Linked DNA regions of Lonchura striata. The protein of the gene in region 1 interacts with the protein of each later gene in a pairwise test. Links are inferred from orthologs where the notes say so. Each region holds a gene or a part of one and is shown on either strand. Other genes may lie near its edges.

Region 1 (14,753 bases):
CCCGTGCCCCGGCAGTTCCACCCGTGCCCCGGCAGTGCCACCCGTGCCCCGGCAGTGCCAGGCGTGCCGCACTCACTGATGGGCTGTCCCTCCAGGAAGTGGATGTTGTGCAGGGACTCGCCCTGCTTGGCCCGCAGGTTCTCCAGCCAGTAGCGGATGATGCTCTGCCGCTCCTGCGGGACGTGCTGGCATGTCCCTGGCATGTCCCTGGCATGTCCCTGGCATGTCCCTGGCATGATCCTGGTGTGTCCCCGGCGTGTCCCCGGTGTGTTCCCAGCGTGTACCCACCATGTCCCCAGCATGTCCCTGGCGTGTACCCACCATGTCTCCGGTGTATCCCTGGCATGTCCCTGGCATGTCCCTGGCGTGTACCCACCATGTCCCCGGTGTATCCCTGGCATGTCCCTGGCATGTCCCTGGCGTGTTCCCGGTGTGTTCCCGGTGTGTCCCCGGTGTGCTCCCAGCGTGTCCCCACCATGTCCCCACCATGTCCCCGGCCCTGTCCCCAGTGCTGGGGGTGGCTGAATCCTCACCCAACCTCCCCATGTCCCCTGTCCCCATAATCCCATATACTCATATCCCATATCCAATATCCCCATAATTCCATATTCCCACACCCCATACCCCATATCCCATACCCCGTATCCCATATCCCATACCCCATATCCCACACCCCATATCCCATATCCCATATCCCATATCCCACATCCCATATCCCATACCCCATATCCCATATCCCATATCCCATACCCCATACCCCATATCCCACACCCCATATCCCATATCCCATACCCCATACCCCATATCTCACACCCCATACCCCATATCCCATACCCCATATCCCATATCCCATACCCCATATCCCATATCCCATACCCCATACCCCATATCCCATACCCCATATCCCATACCCCATATCCCATATCCCATATCCCATATCCCATATCCCATACCCCATATCCCATATCCCATATCCCATATCCCATACCCCATATCCCATATCCCATATCCAATATCCCATATCCAATATCCCATACCCCATATCCCATATCCCATATCCCATACCCCATATCCCATATCCCATACCCCATATCCCATATCCCATATCCCATATCCCACACCCCGTACCCCTCACCCCGTACCCCGTACCCCTCAGCCCGTCCCCGGGGCCCACCTGGGAGCTGAAGAAGCCGAGCTCGTTCTCGATGTTCTCGTAGATGTAATCCTCCTCGCAGGAGAAGCCGCGCATGCCGCCCCCGAACTCGGCCTTCACCGGCTTGCGCAGCCCCATCTCGTCCGCCCCGCGCAGCAAACTGGAACCCCAAAAACCCGCTCAGCCTTTGCATCTCGTCCACCCCACACAGCAAACTGGAACCCCAAAAACCCCGCTCAGCCTTTGCATCTCATCCACCCCGTGCAGCAAACTGGAACCCCAAAAACCCGCTCAGCCTTTGCATCTCATCCACCCCGTGCAGCAAACTGGAACCCCAAAAAACCCCACTCAGCCTTTGCATCTCGTCCACCCCGCACAGGAAACTGGAACCCCAAAAACCCCACTCAGCCTTTGCATCTCGTCCACCCCGCACAGGAAACTGGAACCCCAAAAACCCGCTCAGGCTTTGCATCTCGTCCACCCCGCACAGGAAACTGGAACCCCAAAAACCCCACTCAGCCTTTGCATCTCATCCACCCCGCACAGCAAACTGGAACCCCAAATCCCGCTCAGGCTTTGCATCTCATCCACCCCGCACAGCAAACTGGAACCCCAAAAAAACCCGATCAGCCTTTGCATCTCGTCCTCCCCGCGCAGCAAATTGGAACCCCAAAAACCCGCTCAGGCTTTGCAGGGATGGCACGTTCGTTCATTGTTACAGCGCCAGTGCGGGGACCTTTCCCCTTCAATGGACGTGTGCAAGCCCGAGAACTCCCACTCCTTTTTATCACCCTCAACTAATTACCCTTAATTAATAAATGAATTCATATAATTTCACAATAGGTTCATGCATATTCTTCTGCTGATGTCGACAGCTGGTTACATTTGTACTCAGCTTTTGTCAGAAAGTACAGAAAGAACTCCTGGGTCACTCTGAGCTGTTTCAAGGTCCGAGGAGTCTTTCTTATCTCTTATCTCTTATCTTTTTAGTGTGGAAATTTGCATTCTTGATGGAAATTAGAATTTGTGTAATTCTTAGCTGGGGCAACTTTGCTGGTGCTGCAGTTACCAGACTAAACAGCATACTTCACTTCTGTTAGCGAGCCCAAATTTGGATTTCACCTGCATTTAAACGGATTTCTACCCTGTTACATTTTCTGTCTGTCTCAACAGCACTGGGGACACGCGGGGGACACTCTGGGACACGCGGGGGACACGCGGGGGACACGCTGGGGACAGCACGCACCTCTCGTAGGTGGCGGTGACGAAGAAGGCGTAGACGCGCGTGTGGCGGTGGTGCCGCACCTGCACGATCAGCTCGGGGATGCCCAGGCGGATGTGGTTCAGCAGCCACAGCAGCGTGTGGTCATCCGTGCTGTCTGCGGGGACAGCGCCGCGCGTGTCCCGACACGGTGTCCCTGTCCCCAGCCTGCCGCGTGTCCCTGTCCCGGTCCCCAAACCCCCAGGTGTCCCTCATCCCTGTCCCCAAACCCCCAGGTGTCCCTGTCCTGGTCCCCAAACCCCCAGGTGTCCCTCATCCCTGTCCCCAAACCCCCAGGTGTCCCTGTCCTGGTCCCCAAACCCCCAGGTGTCCCTCATCCCTGTCCCCAAACCCCCAGGTGTCCCTGTCCTGGTCCCCAAACCCCCAGGTGTCCCTCATCCCTGTTCTCATCCCCCCAGGTGTCCCTGTCCCAGTCCTCACCCGTCCCCATGTCCCTCATCCCGCTCCCCATCCATCCACACATTCCCCATCCCTTCCCACACCCCCATCCCTCCTCACATCCCTCATTCCTCCCAAGATCCCACGTCCCCCTCCCGCCCCAATCCCCCATCCCCAATCCCCCATCCCCAATCCCCCATCCCCAATCCCCAATCCCAAATCCCCAATCCCCCATTCCCCATCTCCCATCCCTAATCTTCCACCCCCAATCCCCCATCCCCCATCCCCACCGCCACCTCCCGGGCTCCCCCCACCATCCCCACCCCCTCCTACCTCGGCTATCCCAGATTTTCCTGGGTACATCCCTATCCTGGATTCCCCAGTCACACCCCGAATCCCGGATTTCCCAGTCCCACCCGATCCCGGTTTTGCCGGTCCCACCCCAATCCCGGTTTTCCCAGTCCTACCCGATCCCGGTTTTCCCGGTCCCCCCCCGATCCCGGTTTTCCCGGTCCCGGTTTCCCGTCCCTACCCGGGAATGTCATGAGCACGTCGCAGTTCTCCGTGGGCACGGTTTTCATCCAGGCCTTGTGGGACATGATGTAGCGCCCGGCCTGGAGCAGCCGCTTCCCGAAGAGTTTATCTGCCGGGGGAGGCGGGCAGGGATCAGGATCCCCGGGCAGCGGATCCCAGACGGCCCCGGAGCCCCGGGACCCCGCGGGACCGCCCCGGGACCCCGCGGGACCGCCCCGGGACCCCGCGGGACCGCCCCGGGACCCCGCGGGACCGCCCCGGGACCCCGCGGGACCGCCCCGGGACCCCGCGGGACCGCCCCGGGCCGCCCCCAGCCCGGCCGTGCCGGGTCACGGCATCGGATTTCTCCTGCGGAAAATCCCCAAACCGGCACCGACAGCTGCGGGGAGGAGCCCCAACGCCGCGGGATGTCCCCTCGGAGCGTCCCCAAGGCTCTCGGCTCCTCCCGCTGCTCCGGGGGACGGCGAAGCGCAGCAGGAGCGGGGATCGGGAGCCGCAGCCGGTCTCCATGGAGACGGGGATGGATGGGGAGGGATGGGCACGGTCCCGGTGGCGGCGGCACCGCGGGGACGCGGCCGCCGTCCCCGGGCCCGCCGTCCCCAGAGCGCCGCCCCGGGAGGGTGGGGACAGGGGGGCACCCCAAAAAATCCACCCGCAGCTGGCGGGGACGGAGGTCCCCGATGGCGTGGGGACCCCCCGTTTGTCGCTTCCCCTCGTGCCTCAGTGTCCCCTCGTGCCTCAGTGTCCCCTCGTGCCTCAGTGTCCCCTCCTCGGCCGGGGACGTCGCGGTGCCCCAGGGCTGGGAAGGGCTCGGGGTGGCGGAAACCGCGGGGGAAAACAGGAAATGCCAGAGCCGCTGATGCCAGGGAAGGCACCCCAAACCCTCGGCTGGGAACCCCCAAACTCCGCGCCCCGCTGGGCTCTGAAAGGCTGCGCTGGCCCCGAGCTGCGGGTGGCACTTGGGGACAGCGCCAGGCTGCCAGCCGCCCCGCGGTGTCCTGCCCTGGGGTGCGGGGGAAATGGGGTGCCAGGGTGAGGGGCAGTGGGGTGCCCGGCTACCAGGGACTTGGGGTTTAGGGGTGCCAGGGTATCGGGATGCCAGGGGTATCAAGGTATTGGGTGCCAGGGCGCCGAGGTGTTGGGGTGCAGGTATTTCAGGGTGCAGGTATTTCAGGGTGCAGGTATTTCAGGGTGCAGGTATTAGCATGCCAGTGTTTCAGGCTGCAGGTATTTCAGGGTGCCAGTCAGGGTGCAGGTATTTCAGGCTGCAGGCATTTCAGGGTGCCAGTGTTTCAGGGTGCCAATGTTTTAGGGTGCAGCTATTTTAGGGTGCCAGTGTTTTAGGCTGCAGGTATTTCAGGGTGCCAGTCAGGGTGGAGGTATTTCAGGGTGCCAGTGTTTCAGGGTGCCAATGTTTTATGGTGCAGCTATTTCAGGGTACCAGTGTTTCAGGGTGCAGGTATTTTAGGGTGCAGGTATTTCAGGGTGCCAGTGTTTCAGGGTGCCAGTGTTTCAGGGTGCCAGGCCATCGAGATATGACCCTGCGGGGCTACCAGCATGCCCGGCGGGCACAGGGCGCTGGTGGCAGTGGCACAGGGCGCTGGTGGCAGTGGCACAGGGTGCTGGTGGCAGTGGCACAGGGCGCTGGTGGCAGTGGCACAGGGCACTGGTGGCAGTGGCATAGGGTGCTGGTGGCGCTGGCACAGGGCGCTGGTGGCGCTGGCACAGGGCACTGGTGGCAGTGGCACAGGGCGCTGGAGGCAGTGGCACAGGGCGCTGGCACAGGGCGATGGTGGCAGTGGCACAGGGCGCTGGTGGCCCTGGCACAGGGCACTGGTGGCAGTGGCACAGGGCGCTGGTGGCGCTGGCACAGGGCACTGGTGGCAGTGGCACAGGGCGCTGGAGGCAGTGGCACAGGGCGCTGGCACAGGGCGATGGTGGCAGTGGCACAGGGCGCTGGTGGCGGTGGCACAGGGCGCTGGAGGCAGTGGCACAGGGCGCTGGCACAGGGCACTGGTGGCAGTGGCACAGGGCGCTGGTGGCGGTGGCACAGGGCACTGGTGGCGGTGGCACAGGGCGTTGGTGGCAGTGGCACAGGGCAATGGTGGCAGTGGCACAGGGCGCTGGCACAGGGCGATGGTGGCAGTGGCACAGGGCGCTGGCACAGGGCACTGGTGGCGGTGGCACAGGGCGTTGGTGGCAGTGGCACAGGGCAATGGTGGCAGTGGCACAGGGCAATGGTGGCAGTGGCACAGGGCGCTGGTGGCGGTGGCACAGGGCGCTGGTGGCGGTGGCACAGGGCACTGGTGGCGGTGGCACAGGGCGCTGGTGGCGGTGGCACAGGGCACTGGTGGCGGTGGCACAGGGCGTTGGTGGCAGTGGCACAGGGCAATGGTGGCAGTGGCACAGGGCGCTGGTGGCGGTGGCACAGGGTGCTGGTGGCGGTGGCACAGGGCACTGGTGGCGGTGGAGGCAGTGGCACAGGGCGCTGGTGGCGCTGGCACAGGGCACTGGTAGCGGTGCCACAGGGCGCTGGTGGCGGTGGCCGTGCCACCCTGCCGGGCAGCCGGGTGACGCGGCCGGGCTGAGCTCACCCACGCTGCATTATTCATGTCCTGCCCGCAGCGGTGCCACCCGGCGCGGGCACCCGCGGCACTGCCACCCGCGTGGGGCAATGCCCGCCCCGGGGCACAGAGCCGGGCCCGGGGGGCTTTCCCTGCCCAAGGTCACGGGGAGCGGGGGTCCCCAGCACCCCCGGGCTGGCCCGGTTTGGGGGTGACCGCCACCCGCCGTCCCCGCAGCCGCTCCCGACGCGCGGTGCCACCACCCAAGCGGCGCCCGGGGCTCGGCGGGGCCGGCGCGCCCTGTGCCACCCCCGGGTCCCCCCCGCTCGTCCCCGATTGCCGCCGGCCGTGCCGCTCACCTTGGCTCCCGGGCTAAGGTCACCGGAGCTGCGGCGTGGCGGGGACCGGCGCGGCCCGGGACCGAGCGGTGTCCCCGGGGGGGGCACGAAGTGGGTCACCCACCCGCGCCGGGAGCCCCGCTCGGTGGCACGGCCGCCACCGGGCCCTGCCGCCCGCCGCGCCGCGGGGACCCCGAGCGGGGGACGGCGGGGGAGGAGACCCCCGCGACAGCGTGGGGACAGCGACACAAAGGCTGCCAGCTGCGCCACCCCCCGCGGGCCGGGGGCACGGGCCTGGCCGGGGACAAAACCTTCCCGGGGCGGGGGACACCGGGGCCGTGGCGATGTCACCGGTGACGCGGGGACACCGAGCCCGCTGCCAGCCCCATCCCGGGGGGGCTCGGGGCGGGGGGGGTGACACAAAATCAGCCGCGACCACCGGAGAGCCACAGACCCCCCATGAGGCGGGACCCCCACGGGCGGGGGGCTCGGAGCCGTGCCGGTACCGGGGGATGCTCAGAGCTCCACCGGCAGCACCGACACCGCCCCCCCCCCCGCCCGGGGCGGTCCCGGGGAGCCGCATCCGCAGCGAGCCGCATCCCGGCCCGCCCCGTGCGCCCTCCCGGTTCTCCCGCAGCCCCCCCGCAGCCGCCGGTTCCCGTACCCAGCACTCCGGTGGGGGCCGCCGGTTCCGCTCGCTCCTCCGCGGCCGGGGCCCGCCGGGGCCGCTCTCCGTCCTGCGCCGCGGCCGGCGGCTCGGGCATGCTGCGGGGCTCGGCGGCGGCGGAGCGCGCCGGTGCATGGGGCCGCCGGGGCCGCCGGGGCCGCCGCTGCCGCCGCCGGGGCCGCCGCCGCTGCCGGTGCGGGCGGGAGGAGGAGGAGGAGGAGGAGGAGGAGGAGGAGGGACAAAGGCGGCGGAGCGGAGCGCGGGGCTCCCGGCGCCTTTAACGCCCCGTTCGGCCACGCGTGTCCGGCCGCGCCCCGCGTGGGGGGGTCCCGGGGGGATCGCGGGGGGCGGCTCCGCCCGGCGGCGGCACCGGAGCGAGCCCGCGGCGGCACCGGAGCGTCCCCCCGGTGCGTGCCCCGGCTCGCCGTGCCCCTCCGCCCCGCCGCGCTCCGCCCGTGCCCGCCGCCGTGCCCGGTGCCGCCGCCGTGCCCCCGGTGCCCCCCCAGCGCCACCCCCACCCCGCCGCTCCCGGTAACCCGAGCGGGGTGAGCGCCGCCCGGTGACATTTCGGGTGACCCCCCCATCCCCCCAAACCCCCCCAAGGCTCGGAGCCCCCCCGGCTTGTGGGGACCGGGGCCCGGTGCCAGCCCGGCCGCTCGGTGCCACCGGGGAATGCCCCCGCCGCTGGCGCCGCGGCTGGCACGGGGGGCACGGGGACACGGGGGACACGGGGACACGGGGACACGGGGACACGGGGGACACGGGGGACACGGGGGGCACGGGGGGACACGGGGGGAAACGGGGGGAAACGGGGGGAAACGGGGGGCACGGGGGACACGGGGACACGGGGGACACGGGGGGACACGGGGGACACGGGGGGCACGGGGGGACACGGGGGGAAACGGGGGGCACCGGGGGCACCGGGGCCGGTCCTGTCCATCCCTGCCTGGGCCCCAGCCTCTCCCAGTCCGTCCCAGTTTATCCCAGTCTGTCCCTGTCTGTATCCCTGCTGGAAGCCGAGCCGAGATTTTGGGAATCAGGACAGAGATAGGCATAATAATAATAATAATAATAATAATAATATAGCCACAAGAGGAAATTAAATATATTGGTTTGATCTACAAGATGGCAAGAGGACAAGTCAAAGGTTCAAACCAAGCGAAAGAACATCGAAATGCAAAGAAATCTTTTAATATAAACTTTTATAAATATGCATGTCCCCCCCATAATGGAACAGTCCATAGAGAATGTGCTTTGAGTTAAATAAATATGAAACGATTTTATACATAAATAAATTATATCTATTTAATAGAAACTTACCATAATAATATTTAATTGATATTATTTTTATATATATATAAATATAAATTCAATACATTTATATTTATTTAATTTAAACCACGTTCTCTATAGACTGTTCCATTACAGGAAGTACATCTATATGCATATTCATACAAATATTTGTATGAATATATATGCATATATGGATGTTTATTAATAAAATAGTTATTAATTAAATAAATAAAATTAAATAAATGTATTGTTATTTTAAAATAATTTAATTTAATATTATTTATTTTTTTAATAAATAAATTAATTAAAAATAAAATATCAAGCAAACAGCCGAGCACCCCAGAGCTGGATTTCACCCCTGAATAAACTTTTATAAAATGAAGACATTTTATTTAAAGATAAATAGATATTAAATTTTATAAGAATTTCAACAGCGACTCGTGTTCGCCACCGGGACGAGCCCGCGGGCCGCGGGCAGAGGGACCCGAGGGGCCGGGCGGGACCTCGCTCCGCGCGGCTTCACGGAGGGCGCCGCCGTGTTTGCACATTAACCAATCAGAGGCCGCGATTCACCGTTAGCCCCGCCTATCTCTGTGTATTGACCAATAGCATGCGTTATCGGGCCAGGGCGCTGAGGCCGGTGCGGGATTTCACCGTGGGTAGCCACGCCCACTCGGTGGGTTTGCCCAATGGCGTGCCGCGGTGGGCGGGGCTTGGCGGAGGGCAGCGATGGCGCTGAGCGGGGCCATGAGGGCAGCGCGGGGCAGGTGAGGGGACAGAGGGACAGAGGGACAGAGGGACAGGGAGGGACAGAGGGACAGGGAGGGACAGGGAGGGACAGAGGGACAGGGAGGGAGAGAGGGACAGAGAGGGGACAGAGGGACAGAGGGACAGGGAGGGGACAGAGGGACAGGGAGGGACAGGGAGGGGACAGAGGGACAGAGGGACAGGGAGGGACAGAGGGACAGGGAGGGGACAGAGGGACAGAGAGGGGACAGAGGGACAGGGAGGGACAGAGGGACAGGGAGGGGACAGAGGGACAGAGGGACAGGGAGGGACAGAGGGACAGGGAGGGGACACGGGGACAGCCCCGGGGTGGCGGTGCCATGGGGGGGTACGGGAATGGCTGAGCCGGGGGGTTTGGGGGTACCTGGGGAGGGAATCGATGGGGAGGGGTCTCACCTGGGTAGGGTCTCACCTGGGCAAGGTCCCACCTGGGCAGGGTCTCACCTGGGGAGGGTCTCACCTGGGGCGGGTCCCACCTGGGCAGGGTCTCACCTGGGGCGGGTCTCACCTGGGCAGGGTCTCACCTGGGCAGGATCCCACCTGGGCAGGGTCTCACCTGGGCAGGGTCTCACCTGGGGAGGGTCCCACCTGGGGAGGGTCTCACGTGGGGAGGGTCTCACCTGGGGAGGGTCCCACCTGGGCAGGGTCTCACCTGGGCAGGATCCCACCTGGGCAGGGTCTCACCTGGGCAGGGTCTCACCTGGGCAGGATCCCACCTGGGCAGGGTCTCACCTGGGGCGGGTTCCACCTGGGGAGGGTCTCACCTGGGGCGGGTCCCACCTGGGGAGGGTCTCACCTGGGGCGGGTCCCACCCGAGGCCAGGTTCCCTGCCCACGGGGGTCGCGCCCCCTCTGTGCCCACCGGGGGGGTCCCCATAACGACCCCAACCCCCTCCCCCAGGTGGGCGCGCACGCTGAGCTCGGCGGTGCCACCCGCGGGTGGCACAGGTGGCACGGCAGGTGGCACGGCAGGTGGCACGGGTGGCACGGGTGACACCATCTTCGCGCTGTCCTCGGCGCCGGGGCGCTGCGGCGTGGCCGTGATCCGGGCCAGCGGGCCGGGCAGCGCGGGGGTCCTGCGCAGCCTCACCGGGACCCCCGGGCCGCCCCCGCCCCGGGTCCTGGCCCTGCGCCGCATCCGCGACCCCCAGAGCGCCGAGACCCTGGACAGGGGCCTGGTGGTGTGGTTCCCAGGTGGGAAATGGGGCTGGGGGCGTGGGGAGCGGTTCCTGGGTGGGAAATGGGGCTGGGGGCGTGGGGAGCGGCTCCCGGGTGGGAAATGGGGCGTGGGGAGCGGTTCCCAGGTGGGAAATGGGGCTGGGGGCGTGGGGAGCAGTTCCCGGGTGGGAAATGGGGCTGGGGGCGTGGGGAGCGCTTCCCGGGTGGGAAATGGGGCGTGGGGAGCGGTTCCCAGGTGGGAAATGGGGCTGGGGGCGTGGGGAGCAGTTCCCCGGTGGGAAATGGGGCTGGGGGCGTGGGGAGCGGTTCCCGGGTGGGAAATGGGGCTGGGGGCGTGGGGAGCAGTTCCCCGGTGGGAAATGGGGCTGGGGGCGTGGGGAGCGGTTCCCGGGTGGAAATGGGGCTGGGGGCGTGGGGAGCGGCTCCCGGGTGGGAAATGGGGCTGGGGGTGCGGTTCCCAGGTGGGAAATGGGGCTGGGGGCGTGGGGAGCGGTTCCCGGGTGGAAATGGGGCTGGGGGCGTGGGGAGCGGTTCCCGGGTGGGAAATGGGGCTGGGGGCATGGTTCTCAGGTGGGACAGGGGATGGGGACACAGATTTGGGGGGCAGGAATTGGGGGTTGTGGGCAGGAATTCGTGTTTGGGGGCAGGGTTTGGGGACACGAGTTTGGGGATTGAGGACACGGTGCTGGGCTTGGGGACACGGGTTTGGGGTTGGGGGACAGCTGCTCCTGGGGCAGGGTCCCCCCAGGGGCCGTTTTGGGGTGTGGGGAGGGGGTGCCGGGGGTCTGGGGGTGCCCACCCGGCCCCCTGTGCCCGCAGGGCCCCACAGCTTCACCGGGGAGGATTGTGCCGAGCTGCACGTGCACGGGGGGCCCGCCGTGGTCAGCGGGGTGCTGCGGGCTCTGGGTGAGCCCCGATGCCCTCCTGATCCTGTTCCACCCTCCTGATCCTGTTCCATTGCTCCTGATCCTATTCCATCCCTCCTGATCCTATTCCATCCCTCCTGATCCTGTTCCATCCCTCCTGATCCTGTTCCATCCCTCCTGATCCTATTCCATCCCTCCTGATCCTGTTCCATTGCTCCTGATCCTATTCCATCCCTCCTGATCCTATTCCATCCCTCCTGATCCTGTTCCATCCCTCCTGATCCTATTCCATCCCTCCTGATCCTGTTCCATCCCTCCTGATCCTATTCCATCCCTCCTGATCCTGTTCCATTGCTCCTGATCCTATTCCATCCCTCCTGATCCTGTTCCATCCCTCCTGATCCTGTTCCATTGCTCCTGATCCTATTCCATCCCTCCTGATCGTATTCCATCCCTCCTGATCCTATTCCATCCCTCCTGATCCTATTCCATCCTTCCTGATCCTGTTCCATCCCTCCTGCCCCTGTTCCATCCCTCCTGATCCTGTTCCATCCCTCCTGATCCTATTCCATCCCTCCTGATCCTATTCCATCCCTCCTGATCCTGTTCCATCCCTCCTGATCCTATTCCATTGCTCCTGATCCTGTTCCATCCCTCCTGCCCCTGTTCCATCCCTCCTGATCCTATTCCATTGCTCCTGATCCTGTTCCATCCCTCCTGATCCTGTTCCATCCCTCCTGATCCTATTCCATCCCTCCTGATCCTATTCCATCCCTCCTGCCCCTGTTCCACCCTCCTGATCCTATTCCATCCCTCCTGATCCTGTTCCATCCCTCCTGATCCTATTCCATCCCTCCTGATCCTATTCCATCCCTCCTTCCCATATTCCATCCCTCCTGCCCCTGTTCCATCCCTCCTACCCCTGTTCCATCCCTCCTTTCCCATCCCATCCTGATCCTTTTCCTCTTCCCCTCGGGATGCCGGGTGCTCCTCCTCCGTCCCTCTTCCCCCTTGATTTTGGAATCCTGGGGGTTCTGAGGATCCTGAGGGATCCTCCCTTTCCCCCTTCCTTTGGGATGGGGTCCGGGCTGATCCTCCATCGCTTTCCCCTCCCTTTGGGATGGGGTCCGGGCTGATCCTCCATCGCTTTCCCCTCCCTTTGGGATGGGGTCCGGGCTGATCCTCCATCGCTTTCCCCTCCCTTTGGGATGGGGTCCGGGCTGATCCTCCATCCCTTTCCCCTTCCTTTGGGATGGGGTCCGGGCTGATCCTCCATCCCTTTCCCCCTTCCTTTGGGATTGGGTCCGGGGTGATCCTCCATCGCTTTCCCCTCCCTTTGGGATGGGGTCCGGGCTGATCCTCCATCCCTTTCCCCTCCCTTTGGGATGGGGTCCGGGCTGATCCTCCCTCCCTTTCCCCTCCCCGCCCATGCCCCTCTGGCCGCCGGCTCCCCAGGCCGCCTGCCGGGGCTGCGTCCGGCCGAGCCGGGCGAGTTCACCCGCCGGGCGTTCGCCCACGGCAAGCTGGACCTGACGGCGGCCGAGGGGCTGCGGGACCTGATCGGGGCCGAGACGGAGGCGCAGCGGCGCCAGGCGCTGCGGCAGATGGAGGGGGACCTGGGCCGGCTCTACCAGCGCTGGAGCCACGCCCTGACCCAGGTGGGGCTCGCCTGGGGCCACCGAGCTGCCTGGGTGGCCACCGAGCCCGCCCGGGGGCCACCGAGCCCGCCCGGGGGCCACCGAGCCCCCTGGGTGGCCACCGAGCCCCCTGGGTGGCCACCAGCTCAGGGTGACTCTCACCCCAACATCAGGCGCTCGCCCACCTGGAGGCCTACATCGACTTCAGCGAGGATGACAACGTGGAGGAAGAGGTTCTGGCCCGAGGTGAGCCCCGCTGTCCCCTCTGTCCCCTCTGTCCCCGCTGTCCCCACTGTCCCCTCTGTCCCCTCTGTCCCCGCTGTCCCCTCCTGTCCCTGCTGTCCCCTCTGTCCCTCCTGTCCCCGCTGTCCCTTCTGTCCCCTCCTGTCCCCTCTGTCCCCTCTGTCCCCTCTGTCCCCTCTGTCCCCGCTGTCCCCGCTGTCCCCTCTGTCCCCTCTGTCCCCTCCTGTCCCCTCTGTCCCCTCTGTCCCCGCTGTCCCCACTGTCCCCTCGGTCCCCTCCTGTCCCCGCTGTCCCCGCTGTCCCCGCTGTCCCCTCCTGTTCCCGCTGTCCCTGCTGTCCCCTGTGTCCCCTCTGTCCCCGCTGTCCCCTCTGTCCCCTCTGTCCCCTCTGTCCCCTCCTGTTCCCGCTGTCCCCTCTGTCCCTCTGTCCCCTCTGTCCCCGCTGTCCCCTCTGTCCCTGTGCCACGGCTGTGTCCCCACGCTGTGACACGGGGAATGGGGACATCCAGGGGGGCTTGTCCCATCCGCCTGCTCCAAGTCCTTGTTTGTCCCCCTGAGAGGGACAGGGGATCTCTCCCGGTGTTTTATCCCAGATTTGGGGATCAGGCCCTGGGGTCTGTTCCGGTGTTTTATTCCAAATTTAGGGATCAGGAGACCAGGTCTATTCCAGTGTTTTATTCCAGATTTGGGGATCAGAACCTGGGGTCGCTCCTGGTGTTCTATCCCAAATTTATGGGTCAGGACCTGAGGTATCTCTCAGTGTTTTATCCCAGCCCTGGGGTCTCTCAGTGTTTGATCCCCGATTTGGGGCTCGGGCCCGGGTCTCTCAGTGTTTTATCCCAGCCCTGGGGTCTCTCAGTGTTTGATCCCCGATCCGGGGCTCGGGCCCGGGTCTCCCGGTGTTTGATCCCCGATTCCGGGCTCAGGCCCTGGTCTCTCAGTGTTTTATCCCCGATTTGGGGCTCGGGCCCGGGTCTCCCGGTGTTTGATCCCCGATCCGGGGCTCAGGCCCGGGTCTCTCAGTGTTTTATCCCCGATTTGGGGCTCGGGCCCGGGTCTCCTGGTGTTTGATCCCCGATCCGGGGCTCAGGCCCGGGTCTCCCGGTGTTTGATCCCTGATCTGGGGTCTCCCGGTGTTTGATCCCCGATCCGGGGCTCGGGCCCGGGTCTCCCGGTGTTTGATCCCCGATCCGGGGCTCGGGCCCGGGTCTCCCGGTGTTTTATCCCGCGCTGAGCGCCGTGTCCCCGCAGTGGCGGGCACCGTGCGGGCGCTGCTGCAGGAGCTCCGGGGCCACCTGCGGGACGGGCGCCGGGGGGAGCTGCTGCGGGGGGGGGTCCGGGCGGTCATCGCCGGCCCCCCCAACGTGGGCAAGAGCAGCCTGCTCAACCTGCTCTGTGAGTGGCCGTGGGCACGGGAGGGCACGGCGGCGCTCCCGGGATTCCAGAGGGTGGGGTTCCGCTGTCTGCGCGTGGAGGGGCTGGGATAATTCCCAAAATTCCAGAGGGAACCATTCCCAGTGTCCCCAAGGCCATCGTGTTGCCCGTGGGTGTGGAGGGCACGAGATAATTCCCAAAATTCCAGAGGGAACTGTTCCCAGCGTCCTCAGGTCACGCACAGCAGGGACTGGGCGTGGAGGGCTCAAAATTCCCAAAATCCCACAGGGACCATTCCCTGCTGTCCCCAAATCATGGAGGGGTTGGGATAATTCCCAAATTCCCACAGGACCATTCCTGATGGCCCCAAGTCACCAATGGACACGGAGGGTTGGGATAATCCCCGAATTTCCTCTGTCCCCACATCCCCCACGGGCATGGAGGGTTGGGATAATTCCCAA
Region 2 (15,727 bases), on another chromosome or scaffold:
AGTGTTCCTTCAGACTGTAGCACACCTGCTGTCTTACTGTCCTTCATGCTCGGGAGCTGCCATAAAACTTAGGCAGAGACAAAACAGGAGAACTGCCCAAAGAAGCTCTGTTGGAAAGCTGATGAAGTGTGAATTAGCAGCGAATTCTGTCACTCCTGGTCATACCAAGGCTGTTTGTTACAGGAAGCCTAGGTGGAAGGCACTCAAAAAAAGTACCCATAGCTGAGTAGCCTGTGAAATGCTAAAAGACAATGACATAAATGTCTCTGAGATGACAGAAGATGCCTTGGATATGTCATGCTTTGAATTCCTGGACTATGACTACGTTAAGCCAACTCTCCTATCCTGTGTCCACGCACTCCATTTCTATGCATGAAATACAAACTCACACACAGGGAGGGTGCAAGCACAGAAGGCAGCCAGACTGATCCTCGTGGTCTTTCCTGGATGACATATCGGTCAGGCATAGAAAAGGCAAGGTGGAAAAGGATGTTTTCCCAGCAGATGGTTCTTGGGAGCAGCATGGAATAGACCATACATAATTCTGATGTAACTTCTTTCCATAAGTTGAGCAGCTTCATCCTGTAGCTGGCATGGGGAAACCTGGAGATGTTTGCTTCTGGGCTAGCCATCTGCTGTGCAGTAGAGAGTAGACACTAAGAAACAACATGCCATTCCCACCGGGTGATGTTTGCACCAGTGTTTCTTCTATGCAATACCTACTTTCGCCTTTATATAAAAGATTTTTACTAGGATGATATAAAAATAAAGGATTTTTTAAAAGGTGTCTCTTTCAGCTCATTTGTCTCCTAACTCCACCACCAAAATTGAAAAAGGACAAAAAAAAAAAAAAAAAAAAAAAAAAATTCCAAAAGGTGACTCACAGAATCTTTGTGAAAAGATTCCTCTCCCCTCCACACCACCTTCCCCAGTACTCTCTCATCCTTCAAAACAGTATTAAAACAGAAAAAGGTGTGAAAAATCCCCAAATAATGGAAATATGGTTTTAGGAGCCTGACATAGGATAGAGATTGCAAGGGTCACAGAGAACACAGAATAGCTGAAGTGAAAACAAAATAGTAGAGAGCTTGAAAGACATTCAGAGGACAGTGAGAAGTCTTGGACAAAATGTGAACACTGATTAACACTCACATAGAGAATGATTACAGAATAGCCCTCCAAATGCCAGGAAAGTAGAAGATGGGCTGAAAGATCCCCAGATGAAACAGGAGCCATGCAGAAGTGAACAAAGGAATGGAAAGTCTGAAAGATTCCGAGTGCATACACTAGCCTCAGGGAAGGGAAGAAAGTCTGTAAGTGCTCAAGAAAACAAAATGCAGCAGTGTCAGAGGCCAAGAAAGAAAGAGATAAGGCAAAGAACCACCTCAGAGAACTCAGAGAATACAGAAGAGGCTCAGTGATAACAAGAAAGTATCAGAGCTATTAAAGGAGCTCCAGACTACTCAGTAGTACCAAGGGTGGCCTGAAAAGAAGATTAAAAAAAAAAAAAAAAAAAAGCGGGGGGGGGGGGGGGGGGGGAAATAAAGATTGATAGAGGGCCAAAGAGTAGCATCAAAGAAGGGAAAATCAGCCAAAAATCTGTAAAAACTCAGAGAACACGAAGTAGCCTCAAAGAGGCAAAGTAACTAGTAGAAAGCTTGAAAGAACTATGATGAACACACAAGAGACTTTAACAATAACAAGAAAGTATCAGAGATTCTGAAAGTGCCCTAGGAGTGTACGCCTGCAGCTTATGAGAGGAGAGAGGCTAAAAGAGCAACAGAAAATAGCCTTGGAGAAGGGAAGAAACAAGAATGAAGGCTGAAAAAGTCCCAGGAGAAAGAAGCGAAGCCGCTGATGCCATGAACCTTGAAGGAAGACTAAAACAGCCCCAGATAATCCAGTCAAACTTCAGAAAGAGGGGGTGAAGGGTGAGTAGGATATGAAACAAGCAGAAAGACTGAAAGTCCTCCAAAATCCCCTTAGTGAGAAGAAGGAGGAAACTTAAAGTCAGCCAAAGCAGCTTTGGAAAGGCTAGGGAAGAAGTGGTGAGGTTGGGAGAGTCCCAAATAACAAAGTAGCCTTGCAGATACTGAGAGATTAGAAGAAAGCAGGGGAGGACCTCAGAGAAGAAAGTAGCACATGGTCTACAAATGTGAAGGATAACAAAGACTAGCCTCAGAAGGATGGAAAAAGGTAGGCAAGAAAGAGATCCAGAAATCATACAGTAGCTTTGGAGAGATGAGAAAATACAGCAGAAAGACTGAAAGGACCTTGAGAGAGCACAGAGTAGCTTCAGAGAGACCAAGAAAGAAGCAGATGTTAAAAAGAGTCCAAGGAGGGCCCACAGTACCACTGGAAGGTCACAAAAGGAGAGACACTAGAAGAACCCCACTGCATGCAGATTATTCTTAGGGCAGGCTTTCCCAGTTGGGCTGGAAAGCCCATTGGAAAACATGCTCTTGTCCTTGTTCCTCAAAGCAGGGGTCCATTGCCATAAAAGCCTCTGTCTGCAACACTGGCTGTGCAGGCAGGTCTTAACCCACAGGTTGGAGGCTCTCCTGCCCAAGCTTCACCTTTCCACTAGCAGGACCAAGGAGAACAGTGCCTGGGCTCCAGTGCCCTGTAGCCACTCTTGGTGTGCCTAAGGTCTCCCTTGACAGTAACACTGGCACACACCTGGAGGAGCAGGCCAGAGTCCAGACATGCCTTCGTGCTCTTTGCAACAGCCCCAGGTCTGACCTCCCTGCAATCAGGAGGTCATGTCAGCTATAAACCAGTCAGTAGATGGGTGCCTCTGTACCTGTAGAAAGCATCTCCAAGCAATGTCCCAGCACTGGCTCAGGCATGGTGCAGATGCAGCTGGTTGTGTTGCATCCCTTGGCAGTTCAGAGCATCCTGACGTAAACAGTGGGGTGGTGAGTACATGGATTACAGCTCAGATGCATGTGTGTGTGCACATTTGAGTATGGGAACATGCTGTAGCTGTGTGGAAGCCCAACTGTATGAACACCAGAGAGACTCCAGAGATTTTCTTTTCTCAGTTTGTAGCAGGTTGACCCTCACCCACAGCTAAGGACCACACACTATCTTGCTCACTCCCCCCTGAAAACCACAGCAGCATGAGAAGAACAAAAGTGAGAAAACTTACAGGCTGAGATAAATACAGTTTATTAACTGAAGGAAAGAGGAAGGGAAAAAAACTGATGCAAAAGCAGACTGATGTCCAGTCAGTCTCTGAGCAACAGCTGCCTTCCCAAAATCTCTCTTTCCTCAATTTCTGTTACTGTGTATGATATTGTAGGGCATACAGTATCTTATGGGTCAGGCTGTCCTGCTTGTGTCCCCTCCAAATTCTTAAATACTCCTGAGGGGGGTGAGTGGGTGTAAGAGAAAGCTTTGATGCTGTGCAAGCAGTGCTCAGAAATAGCCAGAACAGAGGTATGTTACCAGGGCTTGGTTTAGTTACAAATCTGAAATGCAGCACCATACAGCTTCCCTTCCCTTCCCTTCCCTTCCCTTCCCTTCCCTTCCCTTCCCTTCCCTTCCCTTCCCTTCCCTTCCCTTCCCTTCCCTTCCCTTCCCTTCCCTTCCCTTCCCTTCCCTTCCCTTCCCTTCCCTTCCCTTCCCTTCCCTTCCCTTCCCTTCCCTTCCCTTCCCTTCCCTTCCCTTCCCTTCCCTTCCCTTCCCTTCCCTTCCCTTCCCTTCCCTTCCCTTCCCTTCCCTTCCCTTCCCTTCCCTTCCCTTCCCTTCCCTTCCCTTCCCTTCCCTTCCCTTCCCTTCCCTTGGTTCCTGGCTTCGTTTGGTGCTGTTGTGTTGTTTGTTTGCCTTGTTATATATATTATAGTAAAGATCTATTATTCCCTTTCCCTTATCTCATTGTGAAAGCCCTGTTATTTCAACGTTTTAATAATTTGGAGGGAAGCGGGTCATATTTTCCACTTCCAGAAGCTTCCTGCCTTCCTGGGCAGACACCTGTCTCTCCTAAATCATGACATAAGGAAGTAGGGTGATGAGTAAAGTTCAGTCATTAGAACAACACAGAGGGAGCAGCACTGCAGGGGCAATGAGAACCAGCCCCATGCAGCTGTTCATGTGTCATACCTGAGCAATCTGGTGCCGGCAGAGTCACTGGTTTTGAGGATATCTCATTCTCTGTTTGACTCAGGTAAACAGTCATTATGCAATGCTCCAGTTAGCAATGCTGTGCCAGCCTAGAAAAGGTAGGAGTCAAAAATTGGTGCAGGTATTAAAGTGTTCTTCCTCGTGGGTCTTCTATGTTCATCTCCAGAGAGAAACAAACTAAAAGCTCTCTGCTTTCTGCAGCTGCTACAAGTGCATCTATTTGTATTTAAAGTCTCTTAATGTCGCCTGAAGATTTGGAAACTTCCTGGACTCCTCCTCCCTGCAGAAAATACTCCAAAAAACCAACAGCAACAAAAACAAACAAACAAACCCTCAAAACCCCACAAAACAACAATAACAAAAAAAATCCAGGGATGATGGAGCTCAGCCTGCTCATAAAAGGAGACAGGCAACTGGCAATTTTAAGCAACCAAGTATAGTGAAGTATTGAATATGAAAGTGAGACAACCAGGAGGGAAAAGAACATCTAGGAATGTGAAAGAAAAGTGAAAGGAGACAAGGAAGTCTCTAGGGTGTGGGGTTTAGTCTCCATTAATGAGGGGTAGAACATGTACTGCTTGGGACAATGGCTTTCATTCAGTATCACAAAAAAAAAAACCAAAAAAAAAAACAAAAAAAAAAACAAAAAAAAAAAAAAAAAAAAACATGGAAGAACTGAGATGTTCCCAGACCTTTTCCATCTCCCAGAGAGTGCAGAATAGGCATAGCTGGGGAAAGCACAGCAGGAACAGGGCTAGGAAAGGATCTTCTCGCAAACAGAAGGATGCAGGAGACTCAGGTTAAGAAAAATCACCTGACACGTCTAACAGCTCCTTGAACAACAAATCTAGAGGATGTAGACTTTCAAGGAAAGAATGTAAAATAATATTCTTCTACAGATTCCTCTACATCTCAAGACCAATGCCATATTTGAGGTGGACAGCCATGACCTCCAGGTGTGATGTTCTGTAATAAGCAGAGTATTTCCTCAATCTTTTCTCTTGCCTCTGGGCAACTGCATTTGCGAGTGTACAAGTTTGTGGATACCACAGCTATCACATGCATCCTACAATTTCCTTTATGCTGCAATACATATGACCACAATAAAATCTTAATGTTTTCCGAAAAGTTGCAAAACACTGTCAGTATTTTCTTTTCATAGTGCAGTAATTGTTCTATTTTGGGGGGTCTTGGGGGCATGGCATGTTTATATTTTATTCCTTCTTTGGTTGTTCTGTTTGGTTTCTGCTTACTTTCAGTTAATGTTGGCATTTACATTATCATTCAGTCGCATATATGTAACATTACACTGATTATTAAAAATTAATCTATTATGAAATGGCAAATACCAAATAATAACCCACTTGCCCCTCTTGGAGAAGGTATAATGGCAGTTTATGTTCCTTGTCCTTTCTTAGTTGATACACTCGAGGGCAGAGAGCAGCTCTTCATAAGGACACAGACAAGCTGGAGGAGTGGGGTCAGAGGCACCATATGAAATTGAAAATGGACAAAGGCAAAATTCTGCAACTGGGAAGAGCTAATGCCCGGCAACAATATGTGTTAGGAAATGGTGAGCAGCTATTCTGAAATTCTGGTCCTGGTAGATGGAAAGCTGGATGTGATCCCACAGTGTGCCCTGGAGGCAGCAGAAGACAACTGCACCCTATAAAATAGCAGGACCATATTCAGGATCTCAAAAGAAAGGAATACTAGGATTTTTTAAACTCCATCTAAAATACTGCATCCAGCTTGAGGCTCATCAATATATGAAAGGTTGATAAAATTGATCAACTGAGGCAATTTCAGCAGAGGAGCGCCAAGACACTCAGGAGGCTGGAGCACTTGCCCTGTGAGGAGAAACTGATGGACCTGGACTTGGTTAGCCTGGAGAAGGCTCAGGTGAGAGCAACTAACTGCAATATTCCAACAGAAGATTCCTTCTGCAGAGGTTAAGAAGACCAGGCCAGGGTCCTCACAGTAGTGCATGGTGGTAGGAGAAGAGGTAGAAGGCTTAATCTGTGATGAGAGGATATAGGGGAAGTTTTTTTACACTGATGAGAGTCAAGTATCAAGCACTGGAAGAGGTTGGCTAGAGAGGTTGTGCGGTCTGTGTCCCTATAGGTTTCAAGACCTGGTTCTGAACAGTTCTGAACAAAGTTATATGATCTCATAGTTGACCCTGATTTAAACAGGAGGCTGTGTGAGATCATATAGAACAGTTGGGGTTGGAAGAGACCCTAAAGATCATCTAGTTCCAACTCCCCTCCCATGGGCAGGGATACATTCCACTGGACCAGGATGCTCAGAGCCCTACCCAACCCATCCTTGAACACTTCCATGGGCCACAATGAGGCCTCCCTGGATCCACCTCTTCTCCAGGCTAACAGCCCCAACTCTTTCCGTTTGTCTATGGAAAAGAGGTACTCCAGCCCTCTGAACACCTTTGTGGCCCTCCTCAGAGATGACCAAGGTGCATTCCCACTTGAATCCTCTTTTAATCCCCTGCCTGATACAATTAAAGAAGCACTATCCTCTGGTAATTGACTGTAATTTTCCTCTGTTTCAGGTAGGTTCCACCAGCTAGGAGACGCTGTGCCTGCTTATTTTCTTGCCCAGGGAAAGGTACTGCCAGGAAGACTGAGGGAGCTCACCTCACAGGGTTACACTGAAAGAGTCAATGTGCACAAGTCGCAATACAAGAAATTCTGGAATAGACAGAAGGACAAAAGCTTCTTGCCCTTGAAAACAGCTCAGAAGACATGCCTGGAGAGGGGGAAAAAAAAGTTTGAATGAGGAATTGAGCAACTTAATCTAAATTTTAAGTAAGGCCTGCTTTGGTAAGGAGACTGGATTAAAGAACTTCACCAGTCCTTTCAAACCTAAATTCTTCCATGATCCTACAATTTATGTACCAGGCAGTACCAGGGAGTTCTCTCTTTCACTTCTATTTGACCATTCCCTGTGAGAGCGGGTTTGTAACTCAAGTAATGTGGCCAAACCTCTCCACTTTCTGCCTTTTTGCTGCTTGAAGTAGAGGCTGATGAAAATCAATTAATGCAGTTACGTTTTCTTCAGACAGGCTGCTAGTCTGCACACAGTACATCACATAGCCACAGAAATATTTGGATTTGAAAGGGTTTTATGTTGTTGTTGCCATTAGAAGTCTGGCATTCGCATGTAGCTTCCTAAGAATACAGTCTCATAACAGGCTGTGTTTTCAATGCAATGAAGACATTCTTATCTCAAGAGAGGTTTATGCTCCATTATTAATTATCAGTCTAAGCATACAAAGAAAGGGAAGAAACACACAACAAAAAAAAATCTCAACTCTATCCCACACTTCAAGGCATAGCAGCAGAAACTCCTTTAAAACTTCTGGCTGCTAGAAAGCTGTGAGTTGTGCTACTGTAACTGCACATACACAAATTCTGCAAAAAGCATGACCCTTATTTCAAAAATACACAACAGACAGTATTAGCAATAGAAATAAATGATTCAAAGAGGCTCACATTAGACTTAAAGCATTGTCAGCATATTTTAATTAAAAAAAAGATGTTCAACAGACATTCAGCAGCAAAGGTGGTAACAGAGTTCTTCCTTGCTTCTAGCCTCTGTATAGATCCATAAAGCAAGGCAGGATATGTCCCAACAAACTTCATGTGATTTCCAACAATGTCAATAAAAAAACTTGAAAAAGATGGCTCTACCTCCAGAAAACTCCTTTATTCCAGAAGCATTATATTCATGCCAGTGAATTACCTCCAGTGATTCACCATGGGCTGCTTGACTTTTTAACTCAAATAGACAACCTTTTCTAACTCTGTATTCAGAGGCAAGGTCAGGACAGCCAGAATCTGGGTAAACATCCTGTTTGACACTCCCTCAGAACTGGAGAAATTAATCATTTTCACTCCACCTGTGTTGTTCTTGGCATGCTACTAATGAAAACCCTTCACTGCAGGATGTGCTGCAATGACTGCACACATATATGAAGACTGACTGTGTTTTGGAAGTTACCAGGCCACTGCCTGACAGCAGAATGCTGTAGCTGGTGTCACTGCCAGCTTCTCCACCCAGCAGCTCCCCTCCTAGAATGTCAGCACAAAAGCATTATCTGTGCTCAGCCCTGTGGCTTCTCTTACTAACTGGTCCCAGATCTGCTGCTGCTGCTGCTTCCAGACCTCACTGTGGCATGGAGCTGCTCATGGGTCCTGAGCGCCTGCAGCATGCTCTGAGTGCTGCCCTCTTTGCTCCGTGTGACCTACGCCGTGCACGGTGTGATGGTCACTTCTGTGCCGTGCCTGGCACCAGCACGGTGTCACGGTTCTGGTAGCACAAGGAACCGGCACCGGTACTGGTACTGGAACCAGCACTGGGACGGTTACTGTTACCGGTCCTGGCCCTGGAACTGAAACTGAGACTGGCACTGATACCGGGACTGGGCCTGGGACTCGAGCAGCTACAGGGAGAGGTACTGAACACATGCTGGCACCAGAGCTGGAACTGGGATTGCTACCAGTCCTAGTGCTGGTACTGGTGCTTGGACTGGGACTGGAGCTGGCCTTGGTACTCGTGCAGGTACAGGGAGAGGTACCAGAACTTGGTACCTTGGACTTGGTACAGGGAGAGGTACCTGAACAACTGCTGGCACCACAACTGGAACTGGGATTGCTACCGGTACTGGTACTGGCAGTGAGACTGGAACTGGGATTGCTGCTGGTACTAGCACTGGTACTGGTGCTTGGACTGGGACTGGAATTGAGCCTGGTACTGGTTTTAGTACTGGTAAAGGTACTTGGACTAGTTTTGGAATTGGGGATGCTGAAACTGGGACTGGGCCTGGTAAAGGTACTGGTATTGGCACTGCCACTGGGGCTGGTATTCATACTGGTACAGGTACTCGGACGAGTTTTCGAACTGGGCCTGGTGCTGGAACAGGGACTGGTGCTCGGATTGGAACTGGCACTGGCACAGGCAGTGGTGATGACACTGGAACTAGGCCTGGTACTGGTGTTGGTACTGGACAGGGGTTTGGACAGTTTTTGGCACTGGGGCGGGAAGCGGTGCTGGGGTGGGCACTCTGCGGTGCCGGTGCTGACACTGCGGCACCGGCACCGGCACCGGCACCGGCACCGGCCACAGGCCGCGGGCCTGGGCCCTCCCCGTCCTTCCTGCGCGTCACGACAGCGGCTCCGCCCCGCCCCGCCCCCGCCTTTATTTGCATGCCCACCCCCGACGGGCCAATGGGGCGCGGCCGCCGCGGCGCTGGCCCCGCCCTCCGCGGCCGCCGGTAAACGGAAGCGCCGGGAGCGGAGCGGGCCCCGCGCGCGCCCGGCCCGCGCGGCGCGGGCGGCCTGCGGGAGCGCGCCCGGCGCGCGCGGCCGCTGCGGTGAGTGCGGGCGGGGCGGAACGGCCGCCGCCGCCGCCCCTCCCCCCGCGCCGCGCCCTCCCCCCGCGCGCCCCGCGGGCCGCCGCCCGCCCCGCCCCGCCCGCCGCGCAGCGCCGCCCGGTTGGGCGCGGGGGTGGGCGGCGCCGGCCGCTGCGTGTGTGGGAGCGGCCTGCGCGCCCCATGGAGCCGTAGTGGTTCCGTGCCCGGCTCGCTCGCCGGGCCGTGCCCTTGAACGCCCATGGATTCGGCTCCGGCGGGCGCGGTTACGGGTGTGGTTGCGACGGCGGCCCCCGGCAGCACGGAGCGGGTGCGTGGGGGCGCAGGTGGGAAGGGCGTTGTCATTGCACCGCGTGCCCCGTGCCGGTGCTAGCGCTGGTCCTGCTCCTCGCCTCCCCTCCCGAGCCCTGCGGGCTCACCTCAGGCAAGTCTCCTCACCAGGCGGCGTGTTCCAGCGATTCCCTCGGCACTGCCTGTGCTCCCGGCAGGATGCTGCTCCAAGTCGATGTCTGTAGGGACAAGAGCCTTTGGCAATAAAGGACGGTGTGCCAAGTGAGCAGGCAGCACAGGAATCCAGACAGAGTAGTCCATTGGGACGCTGCTGTGTTTGTCATCATCTGGGTGGTGAGACCTGGCACAGGTTGCCCAGAGAAGCTGTGGATGCTCCGTCCCTGGGAGTGTTGAAGGCCAGCAACCTGGTCTAGTGGAAGGTGTCCATGTCCAGCAGGGTGATTGAAACCAAATGGTCTTAAAGTTCTCTTCTAACCCAAAACATTCTCTGAGTCTGCTCACTGTAACGGATGTATATCAGGAAAACATAAAGTACTTATGGAAAAAAGAGGAAGTGCATGGCCAGTAGTAGTAAAGCCATTCAGTCACAGCGCCCAACGAGCACTGTTCTTCTTTAGGAGGATGTTTTTCCTAAGAAATTTGTTTGAGCTGTTCTGGTAGCTCCTGAACCAATAGGAGCAGTGCTGATGATGGGAGTTGAGACCATTCTCAAAATGCTACCTAATGCTTATAAATGGTGTGCATTTTATTTTGAATTAGTCAGTAATTCCTTCAAATATTTTGGATTTGTGTCATCTTTGAGAACAGTTCACTTGTTTTTACGGCTTTACATATTCATGCATTCAGATGTTTCCTCCATAGTTTTAAAGTATCCTGGAATCTACTACCTGCTTACCCCAGACTTTGTAATGAGGGTAATATATGTAGGTTGAATGTCATATTTTTGAAAGCCATGGGAATAACTATCTCCTTAGTAAATGGTTTATTCTGGAGGCTGAGATGCCCCTGGAGGACTCTAAGTGTCTTGTCAGGCACAGATAATCATGCCTTCTCTGCTTGTACAGGCATGTCCTCTTGTTCAAAAGGCATCATTGGTTTCACTGAACTAATGCTGGGGTGTGGGGGGAAGCTGAGCTCACCACTTTAACGGGAACATGAGGAAACAAAACATTACCAGGAAAAGCCCGTGTTGCTTTCCTCAGCTTTAAAGAAGTGCAGCCTACCTCTGCCTGCTCTCAGTAGGATAGAACATAGTCAAATACTTATCCAAGAGGAAAAATCAAATTGAAGGTGAAAGATTTCCACCAAAAGGTGTTGGCCAGTTGTGGTTTTAACACCCAGGGAATGTAGGCTCTGTGTCTGTGTTGCTATGGGTAAAAGAAGAGATGTTGACAGATGCCCTCTGAAGCAGAGAATGGTTTTCTTATCTCTTTCAAAATAATTTTTCTGTGCAGCTGATGAACCTTTTGTGTAGTGCTGCTTGAATTTGAGGTAGCAATCCATACACGGAGCCTTGGGTAGGCTTTCATTTTCACTGAAATAGGTTTGCCCTCAGATTCTGCAATTTGGTGATGTTTTGGAGATCCACTTATGATTCCCCTGCTCTCGATGCATTTGGATTTTTGTAACCATTTGGAGCTTTTGGTGATTAGAGTACAGCCACTAGCTATTATCACAAAGAGGTTTCTCAGATTTTTTTTTTTTTTCCAAACAACTACAGAAACACAACTAGCTTGGGGAAAAATGGGGGGTGAAGGGTGTGCTAGAAGTGCCTCCTGCTCTGAACTGCTGCCCCAATAGCACTGGCCAGAACAGGGATGCCTACTTTTAGTATCCTGTATTTGTCTTCTTCAGGTCTTTATTTTTTTCTGGGTTGAAGTGACCAGGAAACAACTGAAACATCCAGGATGCTAACTGCACATTGTTTGACTTGTGCTGGAGGATGTTGTTTCACTTCTTGGAAGAAAAAGTGAACTTGAGGACATATTTGGATAAGAGTGCCAAAGTGTTTTGCTTAAACAGTTAGAGTGGATGAATTGCTGACCAACCTTTTCTGGGTGTGGGGCAAATTTTTTCTCTGTGAAGATTCCCTGAAACTTTCTTAGAATTTTTGCTTGGGGAGGTTGTTGCAGAAAGTTGACACATTAGGAAATACATGCAAATAGGGGTGAGCACTTTCAGAGTTTTTAGAATTTTATTGACAAACCAAGAATAAGCTGAATTCTGACAGGGACTGTTCTTCTAAAGGTATTCTGGTATAGCTCTAGGTAGACTTAAACTTGCCTAGCTACTTTTTGAACTTCCATAACATGAAAAGAAGTTCCATAGGTTGCCATCTGTTTCATGAAGTTTTTCTTTTACTTGCTTTGAACTTGACATGTGCAGCCTTCAATAGGTGTCTCCTCCATATGTCAGAAGAAAATATGATTCTTCATTCCCTATTTGGTTTTGTCATGATTTTGTAGACCTGTGCTGTATCCTTTCCTCAGTTCTTTTTTTTATTCCATCCTTCAGAATCCCCACTGTGGTAGTCATTGCTTGTGTGGGAGCCAGTCTTGCTTTGTGTGAACCTTCTCTATAAATACAAGTACAGAGTATCAGGAATTTTACTGTGCCATTTTTAAGTGGGTGCACTGGGGAGAAATTTTTTCAAGCAATGGAAAGGAATAATCTACTGTGGTCTTGCACAGTTAAATAAATGTATTATTTGTCTTAATTTGTTTTCTTACAACTATTGATGTCCAGTCTGATCTGTTCACTTCTGGTGAGTACCTAGTAGGTGTTTCCATCAAGCTGTTGGATGTAACCCCAACATCTCATTCTTGAGAAGTATGAATGAAGAGCCTGTTGTATATTTCTGAGTGGCCTTGATCCTACAACCATCAGTATGAAATTTAGCACCTCTCTCTGATCACATAAAGGTTATAGCTCTTGCCTTTACTGTCACACTTTACAGACAATTAAGATTTTGAAAGTATTTAGCTAATTTAAAGGATAATACTGGATAAGTAGCAAATTGAGAATTTTTCTGTGGAAAAGCAAGAACAGATCTGTCCTCAGCCTGATAGGATTTCTTTTTCTTTTTCTTTTTCTTTTTTTTTTTTTTTTTTTGGTAGTTATTGCAAATGCTCTTTATTTTGCTAGTTTTATAAGTTTCTCTAAACTTTTTTTTTCTGTGTATGTGTGTGAATGTTTCAGGAAATGCTTCAAGGACCATCAGAAGATGTGTTTGCAAAGGTGGAAAGTTCAGTTGAAGACATGGATACCTCCGATACCCAGTGGGGCTGGTTTTATTTGGCTGAGTGTGGTAAATGGCATATGTTTCAGGTAAATACCTATGAAGTTATATTGGCTCTGATGGATTCCATACATCAAATTACCTATGGCTGAGTTTGTCTTAACGTGCTTTTTCTTTTATTTTGAAGACCGACTCAAACAGTCACTGCAGTATCAGCAGTGAAGATATTGAAAGGAGTTTCCGAACAGACCCCCATGGATCTCTGTCTTTTACCACTGCAAAGTTTAACTACACACTGGACTTTTCAGGTATGTGTCTTGCAGAAGAGTAAATTTAAACAGCAGAAGGTCTCAGATACACCAGCACATTTGTTCATTCAGCAGGTTATTGTCCTCATATCTGGTACGAAAACACAATTAAGAATGTCTTCTTTACTGGAAGGTACATAGGAGTTTTTAGAAACAGCTGCCCTGTTACATTTTTTGTGTAGTTTATTAATGAAGTAGCATGTTTTGTTTAATAGCACTCCATTGGATTTCCTACTGCTTGCTCCAGCTGCAAGTGGCATGTAGGATACATCTCTTGAACTGGGAAGGTTGAACCTTTTTTCTTTCATGTGCAACTGCCTGTAAACTTGAAAAACCTCTTCCATTGTAAATGAGGTTTCCTGCAAAATACTGGCATCAAAATGATTTAATAATTCAGCAGGTAGTTGAAGCCAGTTCTATTCTCAGAATAACAAGGAGATACGCAAAAGGATTTACTAGTATATTGTAAAGATCTCCCTTATGCTGTGCTTGTAAATTACAGAGTATTACATGTTTCTAATGTATGTAACTAATTATAAATGTAATCTGTTCTGTGTTCAAAGGTGTGTTCTAGTAACTTTTGTTTTAGTTTTATATTCATAAATGGTTTGTTTTCTGATTAAATTACAAAACGGCTATATGCTTAAATATAGGAAATTAAGGAAATAAATACATATTCCAATATATGTATCCAAATTTCAAATACATAAAGTGGGGACTGAGTAAAACAGCAATATACTGGGAGTAAGGTGGTATCTAGCAATACCACAACGAGTTTTATGCTTACTTGTGTCTTTTTATAAAAAACTGTGTTTTGTATCCTGAATAAAAACACTACACTTATAAGCAAATGTTACAGAACAATTTTTATATTACTCTCTTTAGGCCATGATGTCTTACACTAAGGATAGTGTATTCTTTGTCATCCCTTTCAAGTCAGTGGAATTTCTTCCTGTGATTCAGTGGGGCTGAATGTTAGATAGATATTTTAAAAATAAATGTTTTCTATGTGTAATATTTGGACATTTTTCCAACTCATATAGATGACAATGCATTTAGAAACATTTATTGAAAATGCTGATTTGTTACTTGTTGAAGTAGGAATTCCTGTCAAGTAGCTTAGGGTGTAGTAACATTATTTTAAAAAATGATACTTAAATGTTTCATATGCTGTAGATGAATTCCCAAAAATTTCATCCTAATTCTTCTTTTATGCTCAGTGATGAAACAAATCAACCTAACTACCCTTAAACAACGTCCAATAAAGCGAGCTCCCTTTGCAATCAATTCATTCAGGTAAGAAAATAAGAGGAAGACTCTTTATTTTTCTTTTATTCCTGCTTCTTCTAAGTAGAATGAAACCAAACTGTTTTATCTTGATTTTTTTTATATTTATTTGTTTTTGGAGTTGCTCTGAATACCTGTTGAATCAGAATTGCTGCAGGGAAACAGCACCAAAAAATGGAATCCATTGACTCCATATATTATTTAGAAGTATTATTGTAACATCAAAAAGAGGTTGACTTACATGTTGTGCCTATATTTTACTCATTTACTCTAAAATGGAGTTTAAAAAATTGTGTTGTAAAGATTCTTTTATGAGTCTAATTGCTTTAGATAGTCAATTTCTTACCATTTCATCAGTCATTAGATGTAAAGCTGAGCTGATGTGAATCTGCTAAATAAACTGAGCTATGCAGTGTTACTATCACAGGTGAAATTGAGTACATGGGATATGTGTGGGTTTTTCCCCAAATAGTTTCTGAGAAAAAATTTAGTTCTGAATTGTAGTGTGGTTATACATTCAAAAAGAAATTTGTCATTTGTCATAAGAAATGTAGTAGCAATCTGTTTACACTGACTTTCAAGAAGACTTTGTTTTCGAAGTGCCAACGTTTTTTCAGTCGATATTTGCTAAATAGTGCATACAATGATGTAGAAATTTTCTTTGTTCTTTGAATAATTGCATCAGCACTCTTATTTCCATATGGTGACATTTTTTACTTTCAGGAGATTCCTTCTTTTAGTCCCAGTTTTAAGGCTTAAGAGCTTCAATATATGTAGTGCATGTGCTTAAACCACTCTTTTTTAGTAGCTCTGTATAAACTTCATGGGGATTTGCTTTTTTTGCATACTGTTTTGTTTGGAGCAGGAGTTTGACAGGAAGAAAATGCCTCATGTCTTTGAAGTGATGTGCTTTTACCTTTTTTGTTTGAAGTTTCATCTGTGAAAATGAGGCTATCCCTATGCCTTCACATTGGGAGAATGTAAATACTGAGGAGCCATACCAGGTAAGAGTTGGTAGGCAACTTGGTCAAAAACATGTGACAATGAAATAATGCATTGAATTGAAATCGCACTAACCTCTTTTTTTCC

What was found.
Region 2: the proteins of GTPBP3 (region 1) and PARP11 interact in binary tests that used the Homo sapiens proteins (3 or more experiments, as listed by UniProt). The two-hybrid records come from large-scale screens. The link is inferred for Lonchura striata from reciprocal best matches to the Homo sapiens genes GTPBP3 and PARP11.

What each region holds. Positions count from the first base shown.
Region 1 is NC_134630.1:7,747,022-7,761,774, reverse strand, and holds the start of GTPBP3 (5-taurinomethyluridine-[tRNA] synthase subunit GTPB3, mitochondrial), read left to right. Parts: upstream 1-8,956; coding exon 8,957-8,976; intron 8,977-9,895; coding exon 9,896-10,188; intron 10,189-10,992; coding exon 10,993-11,079; intron 11,080-12,494; coding exon 12,495-12,697; intron 12,698-12,849; coding exon 12,850-12,922; intron 12,923-14,169; coding exon 14,170-14,313; intron 14,314-14,753. Other genes in the region: ANO8 (anoctamin-8), read right to left, coding at 77-173, 1,175-1,313, 2,400-2,532, 3,346-3,456, 6,914-7,013. UniProt on the Homo sapiens protein: GTPase component of the GTPBP3-MTO1 complex that catalyzes the 5-taurinomethyluridine (taum(5)U) modification at the 34th wobble position (U34) of mitochondrial tRNAs (mt-tRNAs), which plays a role in mt-tRNA decoding and mitochondrial translation.
Region 2 is NC_134604.1:30,783,958-30,799,684, reverse strand, and holds the start of PARP11 (protein mono-ADP-ribosyltransferase PARP11), read left to right. Parts: upstream 1-9,659; 5' UTR 9,660-9,755; coding exon 9,756-9,824; intron 9,825-11,226; exon of another isoform or gene 11,227-12,542; coding exon of another isoform or gene 12,543-12,569; intron 12,570-13,003; coding exon 13,004-13,132; intron 13,133-13,230; coding exon 13,231-13,351; intron 13,352-14,571; coding exon 14,572-14,647; intron 14,648-15,569; coding exon 15,570-15,642; intron 15,643-15,727. UniProt on the Homo sapiens protein: Mono-ADP-ribosyltransferase that mediates mono-ADP-ribosylation of target proteins. Plays a role in nuclear envelope stability and nuclear remodeling during spermiogenesis. Inhibits the type I interferon activated signaling pathway.